Tribolium castaneum: one gene and its partner. The protein of the gene in region 1 purifies or fractionates together with the protein of each later gene. This does not show direct contact. Links are inferred from orthologs where the notes say so. Each region holds a gene or a part of one and is shown in the gene's direction. Other genes may lie near its edges. The genes, in order: chromobox protein homolog 3 and Caf1-105.

The links.
Region 2: the proteins of chromobox protein homolog 3 (region 1) and Caf1-105 purify together in Homo sapiens (affinity purification with mass spectrometry; 3 studies listed by BioGRID and IntAct, with this or other methods). This does not show direct contact. The link is inferred for Tribolium castaneum from reciprocal best matches to the Homo sapiens genes CBX3 and CHAF1B.

What each region holds. Positions count from the first base shown.
Region 1 is NC_087401.1:16,339,714-16,342,909, forward strand, and holds chromobox protein homolog 3, read left to right. Parts: upstream 1-1,432; 5' UTR 1,433-1,589; intron 1,590-1,641; 5' UTR 1,642-1,647; coding exon 1,648-2,175; 3' UTR 2,176-2,386; downstream 2,387-3,196. Other genes in the region: beag (protein Red), read right to left, coding at 230-935; macrophage migration inhibitory factor homolog, read right to left, coding at 2,405-2,483, 2,528-2,700, 2,748-2,855.
Region 2 is NC_087397.1:4,716,481-4,720,756, forward strand, and holds Caf1-105 (chromatin assembly factor 1 subunit B), read left to right. Parts: upstream 1-1,211; 5' UTR 1,212-1,335; coding exon 1,336-1,458; intron 1,459-1,505; coding exon 1,506-1,886; intron 1,887-1,939; coding exon 1,940-2,253; intron 2,254-2,368; coding exon 2,369-3,362; 3' UTR 3,363-3,453; downstream 3,454-4,276. Other genes in the region: shtd (anaphase-promoting complex subunit 1), read right to left, coding at 1-371, 421-781, 829-852; Prx4 (peroxiredoxin-2), read right to left, coding at 3,477-3,524, 3,574-3,739, 3,790-4,029, 4,078-4,195, 4,244-4,276. UniProt on the Homo sapiens protein: Acts as a component of the histone chaperone complex chromatin assembly factor 1 (CAF-1), which assembles histone octamers onto DNA during replication and repair.

The sequences.
Region 1 (3,196 bases):
ATTTAAGATCTAAAGACCTCTTTAAGAAAAAATCACAAAAATTTTGTGATTTTGAAAAGAATCTAAAAAAAAGTACAGAAACAATAAAAAGGTATATCTGAAAATGTTTTAAACGAAACTTAAGAAGATGTCTATAAGAATTACAGGCTTGAACAGCTGAAAATTTCAGACATAATCTATAATACGTAGTTTATGTGTAAAAATTGATAAGAAAAAAATTTATCTATACCCAAATCAATCACATAGGCCATGCGTCCGGGCACAAAAATCTCCGACCGTTCAATATGCCGACTCTTCAGCGCACAAATCGTGTGGTAAATCGACTTCCCAATCTTCGTCTTAAACTTAAGCTCATCCTCATCCTTCTTCTGCACCTCCTTCTTCTCCTTCTCCTCCGTCTTGGCCGCCAGCCTCTCCAACTCCTGCTCCTGCTCCTGCTCGATGTGCTGTATCTCGCTCCTCACCTTCTGCAACAGGGCATAATCCAGCCCCTTCACCAAATGCGTATGCTCCATATCGCCCCCCAAGAACTTGCTCTCTTGAATCATCTGTCGGCGCCTCTCGGCCGCATCGAACCCCGACTTCAGATCAGGCGCCACGGCACGATAGGCCTGAGCCGTGGCCACCGGGTCGTCGCTCTGGTAGTCGGGGTTCACCCCCTGGCGGCGCTCACTGGCCCTGTCTCGGTACTTCTCCGCCAGTTCTGCCATCTTATTGTCCTCCTGCTTCTTCAACTTGGCGTAGTAGCTCTTCTTCTTGCGTCGCGCCTCGTTCTTGTCGTCTTTGGGGGGCGGCATCGTCGACGAGTTGGCCATCGCCTCCCGGATGGAGCCGGGGGCGGGCGCGTTCGCGGGCGCCGACCGCGGGGTCATCAACAACTTGCGGAAGTCGTCGTTGGTCAGCCGCTGCGACCCGGGGGCCGCGTCCGAAGGCATTTTTAACCAAAAACTGGGCCTGAATGTTGCAACTAGAACTGTCAACTGTCAATCACATAACCTTGCTTCCTCCTAGCCAGAAAAAAATTACAGTGAACCACTTCAAATGAGACCAAATAGCCCCAAAATGCTAAAAACAAGCTTTTTGCATTTACTACAATTACTATCGCGAATAATTAACCAAAATAATCAAGGAAAAACAGCAAATTCTTGTCGATAACACGTAGAAAAAATTAAAAAAAAAACAACTTTCCAACCCTGTCCCACAACTAACACTTAGTAATTATTTAATTAAGTATTTTTGCAAACCTACACGTATTTTTTTTTGCAAACAAAATTTATCAAAGTTTCAAACCAAAAAGTGCAGATTCAGTTGGGGCGCCTAACCACCGTTTTTTTCATACTGGGGGGGCTTTACGTTACGGTGAATAAACGCAAACGGCTTGAATAATAAATAATTCACCGGAAATATCACTATTTGGGGCTTTTAATTCATTAAATTAGTAAATAGGGGTGTAGGAACCTGCTTGTTACCGGCGGAGCGCACCTCCGCCATGTTTGTTTGAAAATTGTGAGCAAAGCGTCTGTTTTGCGGCTTTTGAAGTTATTTTAATTTCTTGCACGAAATCCCTCCAAAGTTGAGTAAAATTCGGCGTAAGTGTGCCCCGTGCGCCCCCCGGTGTGTACAGTGTGTTTTCTCCATCAGGGCACAATGAGCAAAAGCAAGAGGACGAGTCCTTCCCCCGCAGACCAAGAGGCCAACGAAGAGTACGTTGTGGAGAAAATAATCGACAGTCGGATAAATGCGGCCGGTATTAAGGAATACTACTTGAAATGGATCGGTTACGACGACAAGGACAACACATGGGAGCCCGAGGAGAACCTGGACTGTCCCGGGCTGATTGCGGCTTTCGAGGCCGAAAGGGCCAACAAAGACAAGGAGCGCAGCAAGAAGCGCAAGATGAACAGCACGCCGACGCCCGACATGAAGGGGGCCAAGAGGAAGAACGACGAGAAGAAAGTGCACGGGTTTGATAGGGGGCTAGAGCCCGAAAAAATAATCGGGGCCACGGATAGTTCCGGGCAGTTGATGTTCCTCATGAAGTGGGAGGGTACAGATGAGGCGGACTTAGTGCCCGCGAAACAGGCGAATATTAAGTGCCCCCAAGTTGTCATTAGGTTCTATGAAGAGCGTCTCACTTGGCATTCGCCCACAAATGACGAAAATAAAGCCGAGTGAAGGCTAGTTGTAAGGATATTCATAATGTACATATTCAACACGAATTATATACTATTATTAGACGAAAAAATCATTTGGACTAAGTAGGCGTTTAGAATCTTCCCGTATTATTATTATTTGAATCTGACTCCCTAGCTGTAAGTTTAGTTTCTTGACTTAATCAATAGAAAATTGTAATAATTTTTTTTATTTGAAATAAAACAAAACACCATTGCTTCGTTATCACTTATCACCCGAAAATATCATGAAAAGTGGTCCCATTGTACCCCACATCGCTAGTCGGCGCGTTCACGAAGTGAATATACATCCTAGAAACACAAAAAGTACAAAACCACACCAAAGACCCAATTACCGGTCCTTCGAAACCCCCAATTCCTTGCACACAACTTCGTACAAAGCCTTGGCGTGCTTTTTGTTTGGTTCCACGCCCAAGGCGCCAATGCTCATCAGAGTGGCTTGAGCGGCGGGCTCACTGGTGCCCCCCCAAGACATGTGGACGTCTCCGATCACAGTAGCCACACAATACTTGAAAAAAATTGAGTTATTCAAAGTTGACGTAACCTCAAACTTACATTGAGTGGCTTTGATAAGGAATTTGAAACAACTTGGCACAATTTCTGAGGCAAATCGGACGGGATTTTGCTCTGGGGCACGTTTGTCTCAACGCGAAAGTGAGGCATTTTGCGGAAAAAAATTGGCGGTGTTTTTATAACCTAGAAATGGACGTCAGAATTGACCTCTGGGTGACCTCCCAGGGGGGGGCGGGAATTTATACAAAAAGTGTATTGTTGAGGAAATTTGAATTTTTGAGTTTGGAATTCAAAATAGGGGCACAAGGGCCTAAAAATGCAATTTTAAAATTGGATTTTTTCAAATTACGGGCAGCCATGTTGTAGTGTTTGAAATGGCGGCAAATTCGCAATTTTACTATATTTTTACCTTTTTTTTCCTTATTATTAAAAGCTACGTCCAATAATTAAGGTGTTCCATTTGAAAAAATCTCACTTTTGTGTTTTTTTAA
Region 2 (4,276 bases), on another chromosome or scaffold:
CGTATTCCACATTTTGCTAATTTGGAACGGGATAGCAGTGACGAAATCTTCACCTTTTTGGGTGAAAACGTGAATATTATGGGCATTTATGATGCAAATTGCAGGAACCGGCACGCCTTTAGTTTCCTCTTCTTTGTTAGAAAAAGGAAAAGCGTCGGTTTCATATCTGGGGTGCTCGCAGTGGAAAGTGCACCAAGCGGCGTGTTTTATAGGGAGAAGGGAAGTGTAAGCACAAATTGTTTTTCTACCGTTGTCTAAATTGTCACAATTGTTTAGCCCTCGGGACCACACTGCCGTGTGTCCCTTGACATAGAGTTCATCCTCCATAAAACTGACGTGACTTTTGGCAAAAGAACCCTCATAGCTTGGCCCTTGGGAATCAAAAAAAAAATAAAAATGCAAAAAATTGGTCCCACGTACCCCCATGAGCCAAGCTTTCATGCTTGAGTGAAAATTTCGAAAAACTCTCAGATATTCTCTTGCTAGTCTTTTGTGAATGATCGCAGCTTTGATAGCTGTAAGACTTGTCATTTTTACAGTCCTGATTCACACTAACTTTAGTACAAGAACTGTCTTTTGTCCCGTAGCACCAACTTGCCGCAGACTCAAACAAGGGGGTTTTCCGCAAAATCCACCATTCACTGTCTTTTTTCTCTTTTATTGAAACCTTTTCAAATTTATCAAGGAGTAGGTCCTCAGTTTGGCCTAAATTTTTTTGCGGGGGCACCCCATTGGGGCCTGGGTGTTTCAATGTTTGCTGCCGTCCACTTGGAACAAACTCCTGAAAAGTTTACGCAAAATATTGACTGAGTGAGAGCACCCACGAACCTGTGGATCTGAGGCAGCAATCATTGTTTCTACTTTCTCATCCAGATTTGCTAAATTTCAATAATGAATCAGAATGGTAACCAACATAAATCACGACTATTTTTCATTAAAAAACGCTTTTTTTAAACCGAATCGGCTCCTCTAACCTTCACAAACTTAACAGACAGCGCTGGCAATCTAAATGAAAGAAACCTAAATTTACTAGAATTTACAGACTTTACTTGAGTATTTAATTGTTAAATAGAGTATTTGCTTAATTTTTTATTAATTTGTGTTAATTTATATTCGTTCACGAAAAGGTTTGTAATTTAATTCAATTCATTCAATAGAATTGCTCATTTTTATACAAAAAAATTACATTTGTAAAAACAAAATCCCCAACGAGGAGACTAGTAAATTGGCGCCAAATGGTCGTAATATTTTTATTGGGTTGTTGTTTTGTGTAAAAAACGCCTTGTTTGTGTCTGCTACTATTCGTATTTCACAATTTAAGCCGCTAAACGTAGAATGAAGTGTTCGATACCAGAAATATCATGGCACAACCGGGAGCCCGTCTTGAGTGTTCATATTCAACCCGTTTTGGAGAAATTTTATAGGTTAGCAACTGGTGGTGCCGATTGTCATGTTTTGGTAAGCTTCGGTTTAAAAAAATTAAGTCTTGTGACGCTGTGCTTCAGATTTGGCAATTAACAATAAACGAAAACGGTAGTGTTAAAATCGAGGCTTTGTCTGATCTAACACGACACCAAAGAGCTGTGAATTCAGTTCGGTGGTCACCAGGGGGGCAGCAGCTCGCGACAGCTGATGACGACGCAAATATCATTATTTGGCAACTTAAAACCGATAATATCCCTCTACTGGAAGGAGAAACGAACGATAAAGAGACATGGATAGTGCATAAAGTAATGCGGGGGCACAAGGAAGACATTTACGACTTGTGTTGGTCACCCGATGGCTCAAAACTTCTATCGGGGTCTATAGACAACACTGCCATTTTGTGGGATTTTCAGAAAGGCAAAAATGAACAGATTTTAACCGACCACAAGGGATTTGTCCAAGTAAATTATTGCTAAATAAAAATATAGTGTTTGTAATTTTTCGAAATTTGAAGGGCGTGTCGTGGGATCCCAGAGGTCAGTTTTTGGCCACAATCAGTACCGACCGCATCTGCCGCATTTTTGAAAATACCGGTAAACAGGTGAAGGCTAGAATGCACAAGGGTCTATTACCGGTGCCGGAAGATCATTATCTTCACAACAAAGAAGTGAAATATTTTCATGATGACACGTTCAAGTCATTTTTCAGACGCTTAGATTTTTCACCTGATGGTTCTCTCCTGGCTGTTCCTTCAGGTCGCATTGAAATCGAGGATTGTAAAAAAATTCTCAACTGTACCTTGCTTTTTGCAGTAGATAACTGGGGAAGGTAAGTAATAGCGTAATTTTATTGAGCTGTTAAAGTTAATTTTGTATTATTTCAAATTTACACGCCAGAATAAAAATTATTAATCGGCTTCATTAATTAGTTAATTTTTTTTCAGTCCAATTTGTTTGTTTCCATCTGGAAAACAGTGCAGTACAGTTGTCCGTTTCTGCCCAATTCTCTTTGAACTGCATGAAGACGGACCTGATCCGCTAGTGTCTTTGCCTTATAGAATGGTTGTTGCGGTTGGGAGTGACCATGACGTAATTTTATACGACACTCAACAGTTGATGCCTTTTGCGTATTTCAAAGACATCCACTACACGAGATTAACAGATCTGACTTGGTCTAAAGACGGCCAGTTGTTAATAGCGTCCTCAACGGATGGTTTTTGCGCTCTTATCACCTTTGAGCCGAATGAATTAGGAGTGGAGTACATTAAAGAAGAAGAAGCTGAGGAAAGTGTTTTGGAGATTAGTGGATGTGAGGAATTACCGGATCACGATGAGACTGTTGAAGTTAACAACCCGAAAAAACTAAATTTGTTGGAACAATGGGCAATCAAAACGCCCAAAAAGGCAAAAACTGAAGGAGACACAAGTAAAAGAAAACCCGACGAACCGAACCGATTAACCCCAAAACGAATAAAACCGATTCCAGTAAAAGATGACGAAAATCAGAAAAACACGCCTGCCACCATCAAAAGAAAAGAACTTCCCTCGCCTAAAGCTAGCCCTCTTCTAAATTTCCTCAAACCTGTGTCGAAGGAAAAAATTGAATCGCCCGTTTCAACCCCTAAAATATCCACAGTTGATTTGATTTTAGACGAAGCAGAGGCTCGAGATGGCTGGCGCTGTGACAAAGATGAGACTGTTGAAAATAAACAAACAGAACCCAAATTAGGCGATGACGAATACACGGAAGAATTCAGTTTGCATTTAGAAGACACGAATAGTAAAAGTTGTGTTCAAGAAAACGACCAAAAAGAAGCCACTGAAAATTGTGTTCCTAAAGTTGAAGCAGACAAAGCAGCGACAAACACAGAAGACGTGAAACCCAAGAGACGAATTCCCTTAATCACGTTGTCAAGTCCCAAAACTACGAAAAAATAAAGTTTGTTACGTATTGTAAATTTTATTTATGGTTCGCTTTTTCGTTCTTTTTATTTATCAAGTGATGTCAATAAAAAAAGTATTATTTTGATGATGCATTTGATTTTGTGATGATTAGTGTTTCTCAAAATATTTCTTCTTCTCAATTGGATTAGGTATTATCTGAAATAAAGCAATATTAGACTGAGAATTTTCTTGCTGAATATTTTACTGTATCCTGGCCGGGTTTCCACTCCGCAGGACACACTTCTCCATGTTTATCGGTGTATTGGAAGGCTTGAACCAGTCTTAAAGTTTCATCAACACTTCTGCCAACCGGCAAATCATTCATAGTGATTTGCCTTAGCACTCCTTTAGTGTCTATAATAAATAAGCCCCTAAAACCAGAAACAAATTACAGAGTAATTATTTTAACCAAAAGTAAAACCTAAGAGTGTGTCCTAAATCCTCCAAAAACACGCCATATGACTTGGATATGCTATGATTCAAGTCCGACAAAAGCGGAATTTTGACTTTCCCAAGCCCTCCTTCTTTCCTAGGCGTGTTAATCCAAGCAAGATGAGTAAAATGCGAATCAACTGAACAGGCAACAACCTCCGTATTAATATCGCGAAATTCTTGGATCCGGTCACTGAACGCCAGAATTTCAGTGGGGCACACAAAAGTACTGAATAAAAAACAACAATCAAACGAAAAAACAATTCGCCCAACTTACAAATCAAGGGGGTAAAAAAAGAACACTAAATACTTCCCCAAAAAATCGGTGGATTTCAACTGAACAAACTCCCCGTCGACCACAGCCGTGCTCTCCCAAAAGGGGGCCGGTTTGGAGACTTAAAACCACGATTAAAACTGGAATAACGGTCCTGTTAACCACTTACTGACAGCTTGCGTCCACTGTAACTTATGCTCAG